Xenopus tropicalis: one gene and its partners. The protein of the gene in region 5 interacts with the protein of the main gene of each other region in a pairwise test. Links are inferred from orthologs where the notes say so. Each region holds a gene or a part of one and is shown on either strand. Other genes may lie near its edges.

Evidence for each region.
Region 1: the proteins of cep76 (region 5) and banp interact in binary tests that used the Homo sapiens proteins (3 or more experiments, as listed by UniProt). The two-hybrid records come from large-scale screens. The link is inferred for Xenopus tropicalis from reciprocal best matches to the Homo sapiens genes CEP76 and BANP.
Region 2: the proteins of cep76 (region 5) and thra interact in binary tests that used the Homo sapiens proteins (3 or more experiments, as listed by UniProt). The two-hybrid records come from large-scale screens. The link is inferred for Xenopus tropicalis from reciprocal best matches to the Homo sapiens genes CEP76 and THRA.
Region 3: the proteins of cep76 (region 5) and kiaa1143 interact in binary tests that used the Homo sapiens proteins (3 or more experiments, as listed by UniProt). The two-hybrid records come from large-scale screens. The link is inferred for Xenopus tropicalis from reciprocal best matches to the Homo sapiens genes CEP76 and KIAA1143.
Region 4: the proteins of cep76 (region 5) and cryba4 interact in binary tests that used the Homo sapiens proteins (3 or more experiments, as listed by UniProt). The two-hybrid records come from large-scale screens. The link is inferred for Xenopus tropicalis from reciprocal best matches to the Homo sapiens genes CEP76 and CRYBA4.
Region 6: the proteins of cep76 (region 5) and nhlrc2 interact in binary tests that used the Homo sapiens proteins (3 or more experiments, as listed by UniProt). The two-hybrid records come from large-scale screens. The link is inferred for Xenopus tropicalis from reciprocal best matches to the Homo sapiens genes CEP76 and NHLRC2.

The regions. Positions count from the first base shown.
Region 1 is NC_030680.2:65,815,889-65,819,894, reverse strand, and holds the start of banp (protein BANP), read right to left. Parts: upstream 2,801-4,006; 5' UTR 2,748-2,800; intron 140-2,747; 5' UTR 82-139; coding exon 9-81; intron 1-8. UniProt on the Homo sapiens protein: Controls V(D)J recombination during T-cell development by repressing T-cell receptor (TCR) beta enhancer function. Binds to scaffold/matrix attachment region beta (S/MARbeta), an ATC-rich DNA sequence located upstream of the TCR beta enhancer.
Region 2 is NC_030686.2:9,075,652-9,079,151, forward strand, and holds part of thra (thyroid hormone receptor alpha), read right to left. Parts: intron 3,353-3,500; coding exon 3,222-3,352; intron 947-3,221; coding exon 799-946; intron 1-798.
Region 3 is NC_030682.2:53,067,087-53,071,098, forward strand, and holds the start of kiaa1143 (uncharacterized protein KIAA1143 homolog), read left to right. Parts: upstream 1-1,212; 5' UTR 1,213-1,224; coding exon 1,225-1,332; intron 1,333-2,921; coding exon 2,922-3,066; intron 3,067-4,012.
Region 4 is NC_030677.2:148,837,033-148,840,627, forward strand, and holds the end of cryba4 (beta-crystallin A4), read left to right. Parts: intron 1-1,130; coding exon 1,131-1,273; intron 1,274-2,882; coding exon 2,883-3,030; 3' UTR 3,031-3,095; downstream 3,096-3,595. UniProt on the Homo sapiens protein: Crystallins are the dominant structural components of the vertebrate eye lens.
Region 5 is NC_030682.2:103,539,828-103,543,327, reverse strand, and holds part of cep76 (centrosomal protein of 76 kDa), read right to left. Parts: intron 3,272-3,500; coding exon 3,143-3,271; intron 2,800-3,142; coding exon 2,611-2,799; intron 1,111-2,610; coding exon 944-1,110; intron 1-943. UniProt on the Homo sapiens protein: Centrosomal protein involved in regulation of centriole duplication. Required to limit centriole duplication to once per cell cycle by preventing centriole reduplication.
Region 6 is NC_030683.2:3,790,158-3,793,657, reverse strand, and holds part of nhlrc2 (NHL repeat-containing protein 2), read right to left. Parts: intron 883-3,500; coding exon 730-882; intron 1-729. UniProt on the Homo sapiens protein: Required for normal embryonic development.

The DNA of each region.
Region 1 (4,006 bases), on a different chromosome or scaffold from region 5:
GTACTGACCTGGATGATGGCCTGGATGTAAATCTTCCACTGCAATTTGAACCACTTCAGCCAGTTCCTGGCCTGACATCATTGGAAGAATAGCAAATATCCAGCAAGAGGGGCTTTTGTGAAAAGGAATGTGGAAATTCCTGCAAACACAAAATTGTAACATGCTGACGAATATATATTTTAAAAATAAAGTGTATGATATAAAGCAATATACACTTAGGGAATTGTGTACAAACAGAAAGAAACTGTCTCCACTCTGGGTGTGGCAGGTCATAATCCATCAGCATACTCAAGATCAGTGATCCCCAAACAGTGACTTGTGAGCAACATGTTGCTCCCGGTGGCCTCAAAGCAGTTGCTCATTTTTGAATTTCTGGCTTGGTGGCACATTTTGGAGGCATAAAACCATATGTACTGCCAGACAGAGCCTCCTGTGGTCTGCCAGTCCACATTGGGCTACCAAATAACCAATCACAGCCCTTTCTGGGCACCCCCTAGGAACCTTTTTCATGCTTGTGTTGCTCCCCAACATTTTTTTTATTTAAATGTTGCTCGCAAGTAAAAAAAAAAAAAAGGTTAGGGACCTCTGCTCAAGTTGCAGCATCTCTGCATCACAACCACTTTGACATAAATATTATTTGTCCCTAAAAGCCAAGAAACCTACCCATGCTTAAAGGAGAAGGAAAGGCTAATAAAGAGTTAATCCCAAGCTGCAGGCATACCTTCAGTTGTCTCAATAGTGCCCTTAAATCTCCCCATACTTCACCCGTTCAGAAGATCAGAAGCCAAACAGGAAAAAAAAATGCTGAGCTGGGTAGAGAAGATTCCCATAATGCATCGCTCCTTCAAGACTTGGCGACTTGTTACTGCAGGCGGCGCATGCGCACAGGGCAGGAGCGTCCGGTTGCCATGGCAACGCAGCGTCGCCGAACTCTGTGACAAGCAGGTGGGGGAAGCGGGGGACAGGTGCTGCGAGCGGCGGAGGGTTTGTGGCAAGAGCGGGGGGGTTTGTGGAGCTTGGGGGGGTTTGTGGCAGGAGCGGGGAGCTGCAGAATCTTTGTGACAGGAGCGGGGAGCTGGCTTGTGCTTTTCAGCCCATACAGACATGCTGGACAAGATGGTGGCGCTGTTCACTGAAACAAGTATGTAAGTTCTAGTATGTGTATCTATGTAAATCTTTCATTAGGCGGCCAGGAATATAGCGTTTTTACACAGCAATAGTAGTACTATTTAATAGTGTGCTTAATAGATTTTGACTTTCCTTCTCCTTTAATATACAGCTATAAAGTACACTTAGAATAAGGCAACTTCAACCCCCTACCCTTCAAAAGCACTATTAAAACAAAACTGAGGGCTTACAAGTTTACACAAAAGAAAACAAATCTAAAAGTAACACATTTCTTTTCTTATCTTACCATAATATATGTTTCTCTATCTACAATAAACCTCTGATGTTGGTATCAGTCTCAAAATCCTCATGGGATCACTAGTATTTCACTTGTCATTAATTGGCTCTGGGATTGTATAATTTATTTCAATAATAGTGCAGGAAATAAGGCAATCCCTTGAACCCCTGCATTCATTTTCTCCAGTGCCCCATAGAAATAAAATAAAACTCCAGACCAAAACATCAAGCTGAGCAATTACTCCTTTATAGAATCAAAAGGAAAAAAGCACCCAACAGGCAAAAAGACACTCAATTTCTCCCAACTAAGTGATATATAACCAAACTGGTTTTCAAAGTAAAGGACATTAAAAATTAGAAAATTAAGGAAATGTAAAAATCATATATTCAAAAATGAACAGGATAAATACCCCTTGTGCTAAGGAGGCTTGGGTGTCAAAACCCCGAGCCTAACACTTGAAACCAGAAAGGCTCCTATTCCTTATTCAATTTTCATATGAGTGGGGAAAACAGTGTGCTCACCGATGTCCAAAGATGGTCCGGGTGCTCAAAGCCCCGAACCCGTAGCTGAAGGTATCATCAAAGAAGAAGCAGGACGTAAAGCACTCCGGACTGCCAGGGTCTGCTAAAACATGATCTTTATTTCTTCACATTAAAAACAGGTGCCTGACGCGTTTAGTGCACTTATTCATAGGCCAACGAATAAGTGCACTAACGCACGAAACGCGTCAGGCACCTGTTTTTAATGTGAAGAAATAAAGATCATGTTTTAGCAGACCCTGGCAGTCCGGAGTGCTTTATGTCCTGCTTCTTCTTTGATACTAAAAAATAAAGGATTATGGCAATGAGTGTAACATAGACCTTTATAAAGCAATATGTACATTGTTGTACTGTTTTGGTCTTAAGGGAGGCCCTGTTGTGCTGCACTTATTTTGATAACGGGGCCCAATGCTGTCAGTGAGCTGCAGACTTCAGAAGGGAGGGAGCTTCAGTGCCTGCATGTTCTTTTCTCTACACATCTTTCTCTACTGCTCCCTTTGTCACAGAAGTTTTAGTCCAAGTAGGGCATGATAAGGAAAAGATGGGCTAGGGAGAGTTCACACTCCAACCTGTACCCTATCTAATCACTGTGCAGCTTCACAGGGACTAAAACTTGTGACAAAACAAGCAGTACAGAAAGCTGTATATGGGGAAACAAAACGCAGGCACCTTAGCTCCCGCCCTTCCTTCTAAGGTCTGCAGCTCACCGACAGCAGGGAGGGGCCGGCTAAACGAGTAAGTGCATACAACACAGACTCTCCCCATTTTCCTATCACAGCCCGCAGTATCAGATCGCTACTTACAATTCCCGCAAAGATTTTAACTGCAAGATTCTGGCCTCCTTCCTGACTTAGAGAAAATCCCGACGCCTCATCACGCGAGATTGCGTAATGACGTCCGGACGCAAAGCGCAGTGACGTAACACGTAGCCGTCTAATGGGAGTAACATGGGGATACGACGTAATTTAGTGTTACGCAATTAGAAGCGGCTATGGTGCAGTAGGTCCGCTCACAGTTTGTTTTTGCTATACTCAACACACCACCTACTTTTGTTAGAGAACAAAAAAAAAGATAAGAATTTTCTTTCTTATTGGTTGCCATGGCCTCCACGTCGGCTTCCAGTATTTCATACGCAGCACTTTATCATTTTTGCTCAGATTTTCTTCTTTTGCCAGGAAACGAACAGAAGACTTTTTTTATTGGTTGCGAATAGCACCTTCCGCTGTCGGATCCGCTTGTCCCAATTTGACCAAAAAAGGAAAGAGATTTTGCTCTAACATGGGTCAGATGAAATTAGGTCATCACTTTAGGGATTTTTTTTTTGTATTAAGCGGGCCGCAGTATTTTTGTGCAAACAAGGGCTAATTTGGGGGAGGACCATGAAATGGGTACAATTTATTTTATCTTTATGTTCTACGTACTTTTAAACCTATTAAAGGAGAGGTATATAAAAATGAATGTACCAGTGAATTATACTCTTTTAGGTATAGAAGGATTGTGCTTAAAAAAAAGTTGTGTTTCAGACTGATTTATTGAGAAATTCCCCTAAAACCCCGGTAGTCCCCCCCATCTGTTCTACTTCCTGCTGGCTCTGGGTACACTGCACTGTAGGATAGGAACCAATCAGCAGATAGGCTGACCTGATAGGGAACTGAAGTCTGTCTTTGCTTGTGTGACTGCAAGGTTTTTCCCATTTATCCAATATGTCTCCTTTAAAGGAACAGTAACGTCAAAAAATTAAAGTGTTTTAAAGTAATTAAAATATAATGTGCTGTTGCTCTGCAAAAAACTGGTGTTTTTGCTACAGAAAAGCTACTATATAAATAAGCTGCTGTGTAGCCATGGGGGCAGCCATTCAAGCTGGAAAAAATAAGAAAAGGCACAGGTTACATAGCAGATAACTAGTAGATAAGCCCCATATAATGGGGGTTTATCTGTTATCTGCTAAGTAACCTGTGCCTTTTCTTATTTTTTCCAGCTTGAATGGCTGCCCCCATGGCTACACAGCAGTTTACTTATATAAACCATAGTAGTCTTTCTGAGGCAAACACACCAGTTGTAG
Region 2 (3,500 bases), on a different chromosome or scaffold from region 5:
CTGGTTTATTTGAGTAGCATTACCTTTCTCAGCTTTGGGATTCACGGTTTGGGGAATAAATTGTGCTATAATATAAAACCATCCTGAGAGTTGCACAAAATCTTTCTGAGTACAGCAATATACCTCTTTGCACTGTCTACCTGGCATTTTATTAGATTACTGATGGTGCCCTCTGCCCACTTTTAAAGGGGAACTCTTGCTTCTGAACCAAAATTTGTTAAAGAGCCCCACACATCACAGAAACCCCTAATATCCCTATCCCTGTAATCTGTTCCTTCAAACAGTAGGAATAAATACCATTTTTATATGCTGAAATCCAGCTGCAAAACAGCTCTTCTCTTTCTGCATCATTTGAAATCCTGGCAAGGGAGGAGGGACTAAAACACTGATGTTACAGATTGTAACAACTTCTCCACAGTTTAGAGACAGCATGCAGGAACTACATAACCCACAATGCATTGCACTGGGATGTTCCTTTCCTTATTGACATCACGTGTGCAGCAGGGAATTGTGGGATTGGGAGGAGGCAGGCTGATGGCAGGCTGAGGGACAGGCGACTACTGTTACATTTTATTTGAGTGACAAAGTAGTCAGCCAGATCAGCAGGGGAACAGGGGGCGGGGCTTAGGGAACTGTTCCAAACCAGATTATTACATTAAATATCATGAAAAGGCTGCATATTTTTCAACTGATGTATATTGCAAAGTTGCTTGAAATTATGTTTCCTTTTCAAAAAGCTTGTGTGTTTGGGTGCAGTTCCCCTTTAATAAACCCCGGAACAGTTTTACCCCCACTTACGATCCATTGCCATGCCAACGGCAATGCATTTCTTGAAGCGGCAGAGCTGGCACTGGTTTCGGGTGATCTTGTCGATAATGCAGCAGCCATCGTACTTGCATGAATAGGAGGGGTGCAGGTTCTTCTGGATGGTGCGACGGAAGAAACCCTGCATAGACGAGGGCAAAAAGCATAATAAAAAACTGCGATATAAAACCAATGACAGTGCTAATAGAGATGGCAAAGTGATTAAGCCTGTAATCTACTCTTCACTGTATGATCTGCTTTATGGCCGAGCAAAACAGGCAGCAACAGCATTATACGAAATACTGGTATAAATAATGGATACATTTCCAACTGGGTCAATTTGTCTAAAAGTTGTTTGTTCCAAATGATTCAGGGCATGGGTTTAAGCATAACGGCCAATTTGTTTTCTGCTTTTAGTACTTTTGGAATAAAGTCTACATTCCTATGCCCTAGTTAAATCCATGCCCATACATAACCCACACCCCATCCAAATCAGTTCCAAACTCCTTTTCTCTCCTTTGGAAAACATCCCTCCTATAAACATTCTTTTATTTACAACTAAAAAAACTTTGTCCTTCTTTCCGGTGCCAATATTTAAGCTACGTACAGCCCTATTCCCATTATGCAAAAGGAAGCTCCTTCGCCTTTAGGAAATAGGCCATCCAAATACTTCCCACCCATTCTAGACACACAAATGTCTTATATTCTAGCCCTGCCCTAAACCATTACACAATAAAATGATTAATATTTCCTGCCCCTAATGCAAGTGCCAATTGGCAAATATACCATATATAATGGTTAGTGTCTATACATAGGTCTGCATCTATATTTATGATTTCTATTGACAGGACTATTAGTGCCTGTATATGTATGGATTAGTATCTATACATAGGCATTTTTGTGCATATATCTCTATGGATAAGTGACTATATCTAGGCACTGTATTACATATATCTGTATGAATTAGTTCATATACCTAGGGCTTGTCTTGCTTATATCTGTATGGATTAGTTCTTATATCTAAGGCTTGTATTGCCTATGTTTGTCCTAACTAGTTCCTATATCTAAGGCTTGTATTGCCTATGTTTGTCCTAACTAGTTCCTATACCTAAGGCTTGTATTGGCTACGGTTAGACTAACTAGTTCCTATACCTAAGGCTTGTCTTGCTTATATCTGTATGGATTAGTTCTTATATCGAAGGCTTGTATTGCCTATGTTTGTGCAAACTAGTTCCTATACCTAAGGCTTGTATTGCCTATGTTTGTGCTAACTAGTTCCTATACCTAAGGCTTGTATTGCCTATGTTTGTCCTAACTAGTTCCTATACCTAAGGCTTGTATTGCCTACGGTTAGACTAACTAGTTCCTATACCTAAGGCTTGTCTTGCTTATATCTGTATGGATTAGTTCTTATATCGAAGGCTTGTATTGCCTATGTTTGTGCTAACTAGTTCCTATACCTAAGGCTTGTATTGCCTATGTTTGTCCTAACTAGTTCCTATACCTAAGGCTTGTATTGCCTACGGTTAGACTAACTAGTTCCTATACCTAAGGCTTGTCTTGCTTATATCTGTATGGATTAGTTCTTATATCGAAGGCTTGTATTGCCTATGTTTGTCCTAACTAGTTCCCATATCTAAGGCTTGTATTGCCTATGTTTGTGCTAACTAGTTCCTATACCTAAGGCTTGTATTGCCTATGGTTGTACTAGCTAGTTCCTATACCTAAGGCTTGTATTGCCTATGGTTGTACTAGCTAGTTCCTATACCTAAGGCTTGTATTGCTTATATCTGTATGGATTTGTTTATATACCAGTGGTGGGCAAACTTTTTGGCTCAGAGGCCACATTGACTTTTAAAATTTGACAGACGGGCCAGCGTTGCGCCGTCTCCACTCGTCAGTCCAAGTCTCACATGATCAGAGTCGGTGGGCCGGATTAAAAAGACCAACGGGCCGTAGTTTGCCCACCCCTGTTCTATACCAAGGGATTGTATTGTTTATATCTATATGGATTGGTTCCTATACCATGGGTTTATATTGCCTTTATCCACATAAGTTCATAAACCTAGGGCTTGTCTATATCTGTAGTAACTAGTTCCTATACCTTGTGTTATCGATATGGGTTTGTTCCTATACCTAATACTTATATTGCCTGTATCTGTATGAATTAGAGGCTGAATAGCCCTATGCTTGGGCCTCCATCTTTACATCCTAACCAGTTAAGGTGGGGGCAGTACAGGTTGATTATAATTGACCCTAGAGCTCACCCCTTATTCAAAAAGTTTCTGTGTATGAAGATGCTGACCTGGATATATGCTCAGAGACTGACAGAGTGCAGATATTCAGTATTAGTATATTGATATTATACAGATCAGAGAATATATTGTATATTATGAATTTATCTTCAGCATACACACCTTACACCCCTCGCAAGTGATACAGCGGTAGTGGTACCCCGTGGCCTTATCACTGCACACCACACACGGCTCGTCTTTGTCCAGATAGCTGGGGATGTACCCTGCAGAGGGCAGAGACACCAAGCTGTCACCTGTGTTATTGGATGAGAGGACAAACTATTGTCAAAGAAGCTGTTTATGGGGGTAGACTGACGCAATGTCCCATGGCTCTCTTTGGCTGCCACCTTGCAGGGGCGTCTCATGGAACATTGCTGTCTGTGTTAACCCCAGACATTATAC
Region 3 (4,012 bases), about 50 Mb from region 5:
GAAATGACCTACAGAACCTCCTGGCTTTTCTAATTCATCTCTGGGTTTTTTTTAACCTATTATAAATCACTATATGTTAAAATTGAAAATGCTGCCAGTGACCCTGGGCAACTAGAAAGACTTATCCTGAAACTTTTTATTTTTGGAAATACTATTTTTTTTATCAGTTGTCTTTTTCGTCAGACCGTCTTTTCTTCATCTTTCCGGGCTCCATTCAAACCACTGGGTAAGTGAGACTTTAACTGGTTTCACAAATCAAGAACATGAAAGATTCTTTGGATCTTAGGTGCAGCACTGCTACAACCTCTTATATTTGACTGATTGTTAAGTTGTCTGTGCACCGGTAGGTATTGGCTGACAACTTTGGCTAGCTATGGGCCCAGAATGATAGACCTTATACCCACATGTCTGATAAGGGACTTGTCAGATATTAATTACATCTGGTTGTTGATGTGTGCATCCCTCCACGTGATGTATTTACTGCCAGAGGACTGAACAGTTTGACCGGCCAGGAACTTGGATCTCCAAATCAGGCAAAGATCTGGTGGCCTGGTCCAAAGAGCAGCTCTACTTGTGTATGGCTTGCTTTACCCTAATAAAGAAACATAATTAGTCACAAAAGATTCCAGTGTAAGGCATCTTTTAAACCTAAATGTCCTTCTGTCGTAGACAAATTTTTAGCTAATCTATAAATATGTACAGGTAAAATTATGATTCTATTTATTGTCATCTAAATCTGTAGTAAATTAACTTCTCTGGGATTGTTTATCTTGTAAACCTGTTATATGTTGTTTTGTTTTAATGGGAAACTAGCCAAGTTCTTTTTGGACCTTCAAACATAAATGAAAAGGCAGAAGTGCAGCAACTGACCGACTGTTCAAATACAAAACATATTTTCACATGGGTTAGTTTGGTAACTTTTGCAATTCAGAAAGGTTGCAATTGATAAGTAAGTGAATATAATTGAATATCAAAAGTGTCAGATTCATTGAGTCTAGATCTTTAGGTTTGTTTGGGCAAATTTGCCTGGGGTAGAATCCCATAGCAACCAGTCAGTGATTAGATTTGTTCAGCCAGCTGCTAGCAAAAATGTATTTTCCGTGTGTAAATGCCCATGTGCAAAATTAGCCAGTGTGTATTTATGCTGCATTTTCAGAACTTGTTTGTAATCTTTCTGGGACATAAATTTCAGTAAATCTTTTTTTTATTCAGTTTCTTGTAGCCATGAGTAAAAGAAATAAAGTATCCTATGTGAAGCCTGTTGAGCCCTCCTTTATTTCCAAGTTCAAGAAAGATGTTGGCTACAAAGAGGGACCCACAGTGGACACAAAGGTGCGTGCTCTACACAGATAGCTGACAACATTTTCATATTGTGAAATGTGTATTTATTTTGATTAACAAAAATTCTTCTTTTGTTTGCTGGGACAAATGGATTGATTTTTTTTTTTTTTTTATTGCATCAGCCCTTATAGAAAACTGCAGTGATGAACAACCATCCCTGCTGGCAACCACTTTCTACTTTTAGGCAATGACACAAGGAGCTACTTGTAGTGGCTACAAAATTGTCAATAATGATAGTTGTATCTACATGTGTTTTAGCAGAGACAATTTTGTAGCTGCAACAAGCCCTTAGACTGATGTCCCACGCAGAGATTAACCAAGTTCTGTCGGGGCTAGGAGTGCATCAGCACGTTGATGTGGTCCTCTTCCTGTTGCCTCTGTCCCAGCAAAGTGACCTCAAGGTGGGCATATTGGGAAAAGATCCACTCGTTTGATGACCTCGCCAAATGAACAGATCTTTGTGTGTATGGCTAGTTTAAAGGACATGTAAACCCCACACACAAAATGTAATCAGTGAACAGCCTCTTTGAAATCTTTCAATACCTGCCACAATGGTTGTCCAGAGGTTAATAGTAAGGCTGCAGTGTCCCCTTTATCACTTAGATTTGCTTCTCCTCCTGTAACCCACTTGGCCCCCTCCCTTTAGGAATTTGCTTTGGCTGTTGGCTTGTGGGCATGCTCAGTTGTTCTAAGCTCAGATTACCAAACACGCCTCCAGTCTAGCAGCCAGTGAAGAGATGGCATTGCTGGTTCCCATAGAAACTCAGCTCTAGCTGTCTGCTTCAATTTTTTTCTTCCAACCAACTCTTCTGAGCTCAGCTCAAACAAAGCAGAACTTTTATCAGAGACATTTGTGCCTGTGTGAGCCTGTATTCTTGGTGAAATGTATGCTGAATAAGGGTCTGTGTATGCTGTTTGCAAATTTAAATGTATCTGATTATGTATCAGAGGAAAAATGGCCACCAGGTGAAAGCTGCTATTTGCTTTATGAAAATGTGATGGTGCTAGCAAACGGAGGGGATATATACAGTACACATGATGCCATTTGGGTGGGGGAGATGTGCCTAACTGATATACATTGTAAGCAAATGTAGGCTTTACATGTCCTTTAAGTCTTTGCCAGCATAAGTCTTCTTTTGTTCTAAGCACTGTTATGAACAAAGTATTTACAAGCCTAGTTGTCAAGCAGCGATTGTGATGACACCATACCATGCCCATCTGAGTATCAGACAACATCCTCTCGTAGGTTATTACGATGATATGAGTTAAGAGGAGTTGTAAGATAGGAGTTGGGCCCAGCCTGCTAGTAAGACATTGACTGCTCAGGTAAGGCTTAAACTGCATACTGAGACACTAACAAACTTATAAAAGCTTGGTGAAATAAAGTTAATGGAAAGTATACAGAGAAAATTAAAAATCATATACTCACAGATTAATCAGGGCAATATTCAAACCCAAATGATATAGCCATATTTAGCCATATTTATTTAGCCACATTTTAAGTCCATTTCCTGCAGAGTTTTTTAGAATGATGACAACTTATTTAAATTAATTTTTCTCTTGATCTAACTGCGCTGCAGAGACAGGAACTTCCCGTACTTGCAGATGACAGTGATGGGAGTGATAAAGAAGATGAACAGCCTCAGGTGGTGGTCCTGAGAAAAGGTGACCTCTCAGCAGAGGAGGTTATGAAAATTAAAGAACAAATCAAAGAAAACTCAAAAGGTCTGTGTATCTGATCTTTCTAAAAACAAAATTCTGATCGCATGTTTAGTGATTAGCCCTTAACAGATTGATTTGCTAAAATAGGTGTGGTAGAACTTTGACCTTTAAACACATGACCATCGGGTTGGAACACTGATTTCCAGCCAGGTCTGATCATTCAACATCTTTTCCCTCCTTTGCAAACATGGAAAGCCTTCCCAGAAATGATATCTATTCAAAGAAGGACCAACCTTTTTAAAAATACCTTGGATTCAGACTGAGATGAAGGAGAGGTTTCTGGACACTTTTAGCCATATAGTATATAAGTAAGTGTATATGTGTAAGTCCATGAGGATAAATATTTAAACCCCACATTCCCTAAGAGATTCAATAACTCATAACTCATAACTATAAAATACCCTACATCATAGGATGCACACTGAGAGCAAAGTCTTGCTGTTCTAGAATTCCTTGTAAGTATTCTTGTTTCTTATTACATATTGGCCTCTGCTGCTGTAGACTTCTCTCAGCTGAATGCATGTAAAAAGGTTCTTTAAATAAAACCCTTTCTATCCATGTTTCAGTTGAGAAATAATGTATGCAGTGACCTTCTTTAGTTCTGTCATCCAGGTATTTTGACGACCTTTGTTTGTATTAAAACTTTGTACCAGAGTAAGAAAATGCATTATACAATGATGAATCAATTTCTGAACACAGTCCTAATAAGAAATGCCAGCCTTCTAATCTTCCATGTGTTATGCACTGGTTGAATCTGTGACTTTAATTGCACTGATTATATTAACACAGTTAACAGAGCAGTTCTGTTTGGCTGTATTTCTTCCTACCCATGCTTATGCATGATGGTTACTTATATAATATAAATTATGTTGTTTACCTATCAGCACATGCTTGTCATTAACAATTACAGTTGGCACATTGAAAAGAGGGCTACCAATATGAGGAATGA
Region 4 (3,595 bases), on a different chromosome or scaffold from region 5:
TAAGTAGCCAATTATAGCTCTTATTGGCACCGCAGGAACATTTTTCATGCTTGTGTTGCTCCCCAACACTTTTTCCATTTAAATGTGGCTCACAGGTATAAAAGGTTGGGGATCCCTGGTTTAGGGGTATTTATCAGGGACATAAAAGAGCACCTTAATGTACAATATATTGTATACTATTTATAAACAGGATTTACTTTTCATTTAATGCCCCTTATATAAACAACCACCAATGTGCTCTTTTCTTTTAAACCATATGTTTGCTCCTTTGGCCACAGCAAATATACTAAATTGGCAATTCCTCAGCAGTGGACCTTGAAATTATGGCCACTAGGAGTACAGGCCTAAGGTGGCATCTGCCAACACAAGCAATATGGAATTTCTCACTTATGTGTAAAACTGGAAATATGCTGAACTGGAATGTTCTCTGCACACAACAAATATAAATACACTCCTTAGCACTGTTTAAGGGAAAAGAGTAGTTACACACAAATTCAGGTATAAGGTTTAAGATTTCTATTACCCAAATTCTATTTCATACATGTATTAGGAAAAGGGAAAAAAGTTTATTCTGATATTCAGACCTACCTCGCCTAATCACCACCAAATTAAACAGAAAAAGCTGATAGACCCGTGATTCTAAACTCTAGTATATCCAAAGTTATCAATACACATTAGGACATAATTATGAAACCTTGGGAATGGTGCAAAGTGCATGTTGTGCACTACCTGACACTGGATTTTTAATCTAGTGCAAAATGGAGAGCACAGCCTATAAAGACCATTGCCCCAAATACAAGTGCCACGTGCATTAGTCCTAAGTATTGCACGTAAATACAAAGAGATACTACAGTGATGTATAAGAGGTGTAGCAGATTTATTTATAACTGAGACAGGGTCCTATACTGCATAGTTCTTCTGGTAACCACAATCTGTTGATAATTAGGATCCCAGCGTTCCTTTAAACATCTGGTGGCCTTCCTCAAATTTCTATCTATGTGGATATAATTAATGCTGCTTTTTAAAGAAACTTACATCTGATCTGAAACAGTCGCTCTGTAATGGGCAAAGTTCTATCAAAGATGTGCGCGGTTATAAGATCAAGGCAACAGCTTTTGGTTTTTTTCCAGAACCATCGTGATTGCAAGATGTCCATATTTGAGAAGGAAAACTTCCTGGGAAGGAAAGGAGAGATAAGTGATGACTATCCCTCTCTGCAAGCTATGGGATGGTGCAACAATGAAGTAGGCTCATTCCGTGTTCATTCTGGCGCGTAAGTCATTGGGCATACCTTGCCTATTGCACTTTATTAAACAACCAGTGCATTATTCTACATATGTATGAAGAAAAAAATAGCCACAATGTTTTAATATTTACCTAATTTAATGAAAAAGATGTTATTTAGCTTTGCTCTTATTATCTCTTCTCATTGGTTGTTGCTGGAAAGACCTAATTGCTCCCCTACTTGATCTGTGCATTTAAGCAACAACCAAAACACCTAATCTGTGTGTGAACAGGCCAATTTGGCACAATGGAGCATATTTACTAAAGGGAAAAATATAACACACGACAATCTGCCAGAAGGAAATGTCATAGCTCTCTACTCACTTTTAAAGGGCTTTCAGATGATTTATTGCATTAAAAAAATCATATATGGTTACAGGCTATACTTCTTCTTGTATATATATATATTACAAAGATATAAAATCACTTTAATTAATATTTATAAATATTCAAAAGAATCTGTCAGTGTGGAGGAACTTATACTTTAACTTTAGAAATGTAGCTTTACTGAGTGAGGGTTTGTTAGAGATAATCATCAGTAACTTCCCGTGGTCAGATATCCTGTTGCAAGGCAAAAACCACAAAGCACTAACTAGATAGATGAGATTAATCCACTTGTCTAGTAATGCAATAGCACAAGGCTGTTTCTTCTCTGAATCATGATTTATAGTAGAATCCTAAACTGTGATTTCTTACATGCAAACGGCAAGCATAAGGCAAATAAATATTATTATTCCAGAATGCAATGTACCAACAACTCCCATGATTCACAGTTCTCCTTATTTACAGAAAAATGTGTGTAGTCCCTGACACTGTGGGTGGAGCACCCCTACAAAAAGTCAAAGTTTCCATTTCAGTCCTAATGTGGCCACACACATGGCGATTTTAGATCTTTCGTGCGACCATCGGTCGCACAAAAAATCGTACAATCTGCCACTAACCGTGCAGGATTGAAACAGCAGATAAGGAGGTAGAAACAATAGGATTTCTACCTCCTTCTGCCGATTCAGCCCTGACGGCAGATTTTGCTCAGGCGCCTTCTATGGCGCCCGATCAAAATCTTTTAACCGGCCCGATTGGCGAGTCGACCGATATCAGCAGCCTCCTGCGATATCGGTCGACTCACCGACTTGCCATACACGCACCGAATATCGTATGAAACGAGGTTTCGTACGATATTATCGGTGCGTGTATGGCCAGCTCTACAGCCACCCACATTTTCTATATAATATCAGTCTGTTATCTGTTACATGTATTTTCTGAGGCTGGTCTGGACACTTGCTCATAATGGAGTTTGTAGAGTCAGTTATCTGTATACTTGGGGTTGGAGTTTAGGGACATACTATATAGGCATTTGTTTTCACTGAAATGTGTTACAAATATTTGTTGATAATGTGTGTACTTATTTCTACTGTAAAACCAAACAGCATTGCTAAAGTATACATAATATGTATTTTAGTTATGCCTAATTATTTTCTTTTTTTTGCTTTTGCTAGTATATACATGACTAGTATATAACATGATTAAATGTCCTTATACATCCTCTTACCAAATGTATATAGCTACCAATTGTTACAAATATTTGAATCCCTCTACAGCTGGGTGTGCTACCAGTATCCTGGTTACCGCGGATTTCAGTACATCATGGAATGTGACCGCCACTCTGGAGAATACAAGCACTGGAGAGAATGGGGATCCCATGCACAAACCTTCCAGATTCAGTCCATCCGCAGAATTCAGCAGTAAAGAAAATATCACATCCATACACATTCTTGTATTTTAACCTGAAACAAATAAAGCATAAAAAGATATGGCATGTTTTTTATCAGTATATTGTTATGGCATGTAATGGTTGTTGTTGGTGCACCTCACCAAGATGTCAGGCTTCCCTGAGGTGGTGTGTCTGCAGGGTAATATAACACCAGGTTCCAGTCTTCTGTTGTATATGCAGTTTTCCTCTGCAAAAGTAGCGGCAGGAAATATGAGGAACCTTCAAAGAAAGCTTTCCATTGTGGACATGGTTATTGCTGGAAATAGAATACTTTTTTTGCACACAGTTACAATTACCATGAAGCACCTGGTGCTCACCACACCCAAAAACCCCTCTAAGGTGAAATCTACTAACACAAAAGATAGTGGAACACAGATTTCTCTTGATTGGCAAAATAGAGCCCTGGCTAAGAGACAGGAAAACACACAGCATGGTTCCCTTGCATTCAATTTATAAAATATGTTTGGCCCACCTATAGGAACCTGGTGCTTCCTTTCTTTTTTTGTAATTGCTGGAAATATGGCACTCCTGTATGACAGA
Region 5 (3,500 bases):
AGCAGCTGCCATTTTAGCTTGGTCTTCGCAGCTTCCCTGCTGAAGCTCTAGCTGCTGGTAACTCAGATCACACATTCTAATGGGAGGGGAGTGAAATCTTATGGGGGGGGGGGGTGCAGGAGAAGGGAGAGAGGAGAGAGCTGTGCAGACTCAGGCCTGGGAATGAAGGATTTTTCTGAGAGAGGAAGTCTGATACCGAAGAACATGTTTACACAAAGGAAGTGTAGCTTTTCTGCGATGTATTTACATAGACCTTTCCGATAAAGCTTACGTTGTTTTTACCTTTCCTTCTCCTAGAAGCATCTTCGTTTTTAAACAGTGCTATAGATTTTTAATTAGACTGAGTTGGATTGAGATTTTTACCATCACTTTTACTCCAGTTACAGCTACTAAATTCTATAGTTCCTGTTGGCAAACCTACATCTTCTTTGTCCAGAAACATGTGCACGAACATTTCTCGAAACATAGCTTTCTGTTTACTGTACCAACAGTGTCCACTAGAGCCTGGATACTGTTTTTTACCCCTTTTCCACTTTAGGCATTTGTATTGCTTTACCTTAAATTTCTTTGGAATGCTCTTTAATCTTAATTTTAGAGCAGTCCTTCATATGCACAAAAAAAATTATCTAAAAAATGATTTCTTAAATGTAGCAGTTATTTTAACAATTCACTAAAAAGACAAATCTGAACCAATTCTGTTAACAATTCTGTTAATTGCTATACAAAATGATAGTATGAAAATGATTTTTGTTATCCAAAATGACAGAGAATACAATTACAGCATAGATTTATAGTAAGTAAAATGAATGAAAGCAAAAATCAACTCTAAATACTTTTGCAAGGCAACATAAATGTACTGTATCTACTGAGCTAATACTGGTGGAACTGTCATCATCACACAGTGTTTTGCATGATAAGCCGGTGCACAATTTTCCAGACAAACCTGTGCCCAGTCAAGCTCTCCCAAAATGTAATGGCACCATCAGTTCCACAAGTCATCACCCATGTATGTGCCTGTCCTCTTCCTTTGGTACCCACACACACATAGGCATCTAATCCAAAGCCAAGAAGAAGACTGCAAAGAAGATTGCAATGGTCCTCACAGTCCCCCTAGGAGGAAAAGGCAACAAAATATTGTTTAAACAGATAATAATACACTGCTGTTATAAATAAATCATGTTATTTCTATCCTGTCAAAGCAGAACAGTCATATCACATATCAAATTTACAATGTAAAATGTAGTTGTGGTTATGGTTGTGTTCAAAGTCACTCTTTCCGTTTCGATTTAGTTATCCCACCTGCTTTTACAAATTCTGCACATGTAAATCTATAGACACAAATGAACCCTGAAGCGACTGTCACATCCAAAAGGTTCCCAAAGAGGCCTGCACTTGCTCTTAACGGATCAGAAGCACATTTTATCAAAGCACAGGCACCCTCATATCAACACATCAGCTGCAATTGGGCACATCATCCACTCGCAAACCCAATTATGCTGGAATTATGAGGAAAAATGCTGAATTGTGGGTAAAACAATAGCTATTGTGTCCAAAATCACACTTAGGGGCACATTTACTAAGACGCGAATTCGAATCCGAATTGGAAAAATACGTTTGGAAAATGAACATTTTGCGATTTTTTCGTATTTTTTGCGATTTTTTTTGGCGCCTTTACTACTTTTTCGGAAATTGTCGCGACTTTTTCGTTACCAATACGATTTGCGCGAAAAAACGCAAGTTTTTCGTAGCCATTACGATGCACTCGTATCTTGTCGCGACTTTTTCGTATTGAGCTCTCGTAAGCGGCGGGCAAAACTTTCAGACTTAGCATGATTTTGGAAGCCTCCCATAGGACTCAATGGCACCCTGCAGCTCCAACCTGGCCCAAGTAAAGTCACCATACTGAAGCTTGAATGAATCCGAATCTTTCGTACTCGGCACGAAGGCTACGAAAAAGTCGTGACAAAATACGAGCGCATCTTAACGCCTACGAAAAACTTGCGTTTTTTCGCGCAAATCGTATCAGTAACGAAAAAGTCGCGACAATTTTCCGAAAAAATCACCAAATACCTATCATTACGAAAAAAAACGCAATCGGACGCATTCGGCCGGTTCGTGAGTAAGTAAATGGGCCCCTTAGTATGCTGCACTTGCAGTAAGTAAAATGACCCCTCAGGAGTATTGTCATTATTGGCCCAAAAAAGTGCATTATACCACCAGAGCAAGTGGAGGCATGCTGTTTACAAAGAGCACAATTTATGGAGCCTCATGGCAGTGTGGAATGTTGATAAAGAGATAGCAGGTGGTGTGTGTCTAGTAAGTGATGTGTTGCAGAGGGGAACCAATTGCAAATTCTTTATCAAATTCATTATCCTGAGTGTGATGAAGCTTAATCTTTATACAATTGACAAGTAGCTGCTCACTCACTTGTTTGTATTTGTAGCACACACTGCAATGCTTGTATTCTGTGTTTTTTTTTTTTACATGAGCCAAGTTTCTACATCTTTCCTCTGCTAAGTACACACACAGTTTTGCATTATTCAGGCAAAAGCAGAGTTACTTTAAACAGCATATGGTTAACTATGAAATCAAAACTATTTAATCTCATACCTTATTTCTGCAAAGGAATGCTAAAAGGGTGCACCACTGTTCCTGTTTGCCACCCCCACCAACAGTTGGGGCTCTTTCATACCCCAGGACATTAACAAAGCGTGCTGCTTGTCGAGGGGTATCCAGTAAACGACCTGCTCTCAGGGGACGAATGTATGAACACACTGGCCTATTTACCCAGTTTTCATCCTAAAAAACCAAAAGGGCAAAATTACAAATATATAGTAATTTAGAAGTAATTTACTACCCTTCACTAAGGAAAGCATCGGCACCATTTACTGAAATAGTAGGGGTGCATGCAATCCTTTGTTCTATAAAATAAACACGTATATTTCCTTTCAAATTGTTTTTTACTGCTCAAATTGTTTAGTTTTAGCTTTTCATGTGTCTATAGTTTCAGATCTTGAATTCTGGACCATAAATGGACAATAATGATACTGTATTGTTTTGTCTGCTATAAAACAATATTATACTGTTACAAATCACATGGACAGTTATTAACACTGCATTTAATTAAAAGTTCACTATAAACCTGTGCAAAAATCTTTACAAGCCTGGAGTTATGTGAAGGGCGAATTTGCAAATATTCTCTCCACCATTGCTTGGCATACACCAGAAAGAGCCTTTCCTTCTCAGCTGTCTTTTGCCGTTCCAAGGTAAACTGTGAACAGATGGTTTTTAAAGAAGTTGGGACCACTTGAAATGAATATTATAGTATTAAGAAAAGCATATCATATCACACTTCCCCTCCTAAATTAGTTTTTGAGGCTAATTTACTAGTGCAGTTTCCCATAGCAGCCGATGAGATCTTTGCATTCATTTTCTAACAAGCAGTAGTTAAATAAAAACATATGCCTAATTAGTAGCTATCATTAACTGCACTGGTGTAT
Region 6 (3,500 bases), on a different chromosome or scaffold from region 5:
ACGTTTAAATGCAATGATCTGAAACTAACGGAATACTCTAACCTGTCCCATCGGCTAAATAACCCTTTGCCATGGTATAAAAAATTATTGTACTGTACTTGATCCCAACTAAGATATAATTACCCCTTATTGGGGCAGAACAGCCCTATTGGGTTTATTTCATGGTTAAATGATTCCCTTTTCTCTGTAATAATAAAACAGTACCTGTACTTGATCCCAACTAAGATATAATTACCCCTTATTGGAGCCAAAACAATCCTTTTGGGTTTAATTATTGCTTAAATAATTTTATAAGCACACTTAAGGTAGGGGATCCGAAAACACCAGGTCCCAAGCATTCTGGATATTGGGTCCCATACCTGTACAATCAATATCCGTTCACTGGAAGAAGACTAAAATCTTCTGTGTATGGCCATCCTAACTACGCCGTGTACAGATCAGGTTAGGGAACAGCTTTCAATCATTAGAACACATTTTTATGCTTCTAGCGCCCCCTAGTGGGTAAGTATATTTTTACTGAGAATCACCTGGCAGAGAAGAGAATTAAAAACCAAAAACGGCATTCCTGGAAGATCCCATCCTCTATTTTTCAACTAGAGGGACTGATGTTCAAAGTTGCATTTAGTAATACATTCAGATCTATAACGTCAGCCAATTAGCACCCCCTGCTAATGAGAAACGTGCAGAACGGGTGATACTGCCGGCTGCCTGTGTCTATGGATATTGTACCTTTATCAGAGTATTCATGTTCCAGGGCGTGCAGGTCGGGCAGCACGTGCATACAGTTAATGCAGCAGTATGTAAAGAAGTCCAGCACCACTACTTTCCCGCGCAAGTCTTTGTGTAGAGATAATGGGCCTTCTGTGTTCAGCCATTCTAGCTCTGAAAGGTAAAGGAAAAATTAATGTTTAAATATAATCTCATGATATGTAAAAGGATCTTATTATGGGATGACTTCAAACTCCATCTGAAAAGATCCAGCGCGGTCTATCGGACTTGTTACTACTCACAATGGAAATGAGTTGGGTAGGGATGAAATCTCTTTAGTCTATTACAACCATAATGGTGAAGTTTCCCTTTAATATTAACATTTGGTACTATATAGATGGACCTACAGCAGGCTCTCATTTGCTCTTAATTATATTTATTAATTTCCTACAGTTTCTGATTGGCCGCCCTACTGTGCTTCTTTCCAAACTGCAAATGAAAGCAGATTTCCCATGAGGTTTCAGTGTTATTTTTTGTTTATATTTCTACTCTGTCCCTGTACTGTTCCTCTCCCATACACACATCCATTCTGGTGATCGGTTGCTATGGTAAATTAGCTCCAAGTAACAACAGTCTAGTTTAATTCCATGCTGGCGTGCTGATTTTACACAGTGACCGTGCTTGCTACAACATACAGTAGGTGCATAATTGTTTTTAAACCAAGTTGCCAGGTTGATTCCCAAACTTAATTGGGGGCCTAAGAAAAAAAAATGTTAAGAAATGGTGTTGCAAACAGAGTGAAAAGAGCAGTTTTCCAATGAAGGTGTCCTGTATGAAACTCTGCCTTTATCAGCTCTAATGGTATTAGTAAGCCCAGTTAGTAGTTGCTATGGATAACAGGAGTGGCCACCTTACTACAGAGCCTGTACTAGACTGCACAACCATTAAAGGGGAACCAAAGCTTGGCTAAAGAAGTAGGGCTAGAGATGTTGTAGATTATGTTTTAGGTTTCAGCCCAAGGCAAGCACAGCCCTTTAGCTCCCAAAGATGCCCCCAGTAGCCCCCCATCTTCTTTTCTGCTAATTTCGATGCTCTGGGCTGCTGTCAGTTACTGAGTTTAGGGACCAATGCACACTATACTGTATATATAGAATATAAATGGCACACTATACTGTATATATAGAATATAAATGGCACACTATACTGTATATATAGAATATAAATGGCACACTATACTGTATATATAGAATATAAATGGCACACTATACTGTATATATAGAATATAAATGGCACACTATACTGTATATATAGAATATAAATGGCACACTATACTGTATATATAGAATATAAATGGCACACTATACTGTATATATAGAATATAAATGGCACACTATACTGTATATATAGAATATAAATGGCACACTATACTGTATACAGTGGTGTGAAAAACTATTTGCCCCCTTCCTGATTTCTTATTCTTTTGCATGTTTGTCACACTTAAATGTTTCTGCTCATCAAAAACCGTTAACTATTAGTCAAAGATAACATAATTGAACACAAAATGCAGTTTTTAAATGAAGGTTTACGTTATTAAGGGAGAAAAAAAACTCCAAATCTACATGGCCCTGTGTGAAAAAGTGATTGCCCCCCTTGTTAAAAAATAACTTAACTGTGGTTTATCAATTTCAATTTTCAATTTCAATATCAATTTCTGTAGTCACCCCCAGGCTTGATTACTGCCACACCTGTTTCAATCAAGAAATCACTTAAATAGGAGCTACCTGACACAGAGAAGTAGACCAAAAGCACCTCAAAAGCTACACATCATGCCAAGATCCAAAGAAATTCAGGAACAAATGAGAACAAAAGTAATTGAGATCTATCAGTCTGGTAAAGGTTATAAAGCCATTTCTAAAGCTTTGGGACTCCAGCGAACCACAGTGAGAGCCATTATCCACAAATGGCAAAAACATGGAACAGTGGTGAACCTTCCCAGGAGTGGCCGGCCGACCAAAATAACCCCAAGAGCGCAGAGACAACTCATCCGAGAGGCCACAAAAGACCCCAGGACAACATCTAAAGAACTGCAGGCCTCACTTGCCTCAATTAAGGTCAGTGTTCACGACTCCACCATAAGAGAGAGACTGGGCAAAAACGGCCTGCATGGCAGATTTCCAAGGCGCAAACCACTTTTAAGCAAAAGAACATTAAGGCTCGTCTCAATTTTGCTAAAAAACATCTCAATGATTGCCAAGACTTTTGGGAAAATATCTTGTGGACCGACGAGACAAAAGTTGAACTTTTTGGAAGGTGCGTGTCCCGTTACATCTGGCGTAAAAGTAACACAGCATTTCAGAAAAAGAACATCATACCAACAGTAAAATATGGTGGTGGTAGTGTGATGGTCTGGGGTTGTTTTGCTGCTTCAGGACCTGGAAGGCTTGCTGTGATAGATGGAACCATGAATTCTACTGTCTACCAAAAATCCTGAAGGAGAATGTCCGACCATCTGTTTGTCAACTCAAGCTGAAGCGATCTTGGGTGCTGCAGCAGGACAATGACCCAAAACACACCAGCAAATCCACCTCTGAATGGCTGAAGAAAAACAAAATGAAGACTTTGGAGTGGCCTAGTCAAAGTCCTGACCTGAATCCTATTGAGATGTTGTGGCATGACCTTAAAAAGGCGGTTCATGCTAGAAAACCCTCAAATAAAGCTGAATTACAACAATTCTGCAAAGATGAGTGGGCCAAAATTCCTCCAGAGCGCTGTAAAAGACTTGTTGCAAGTTA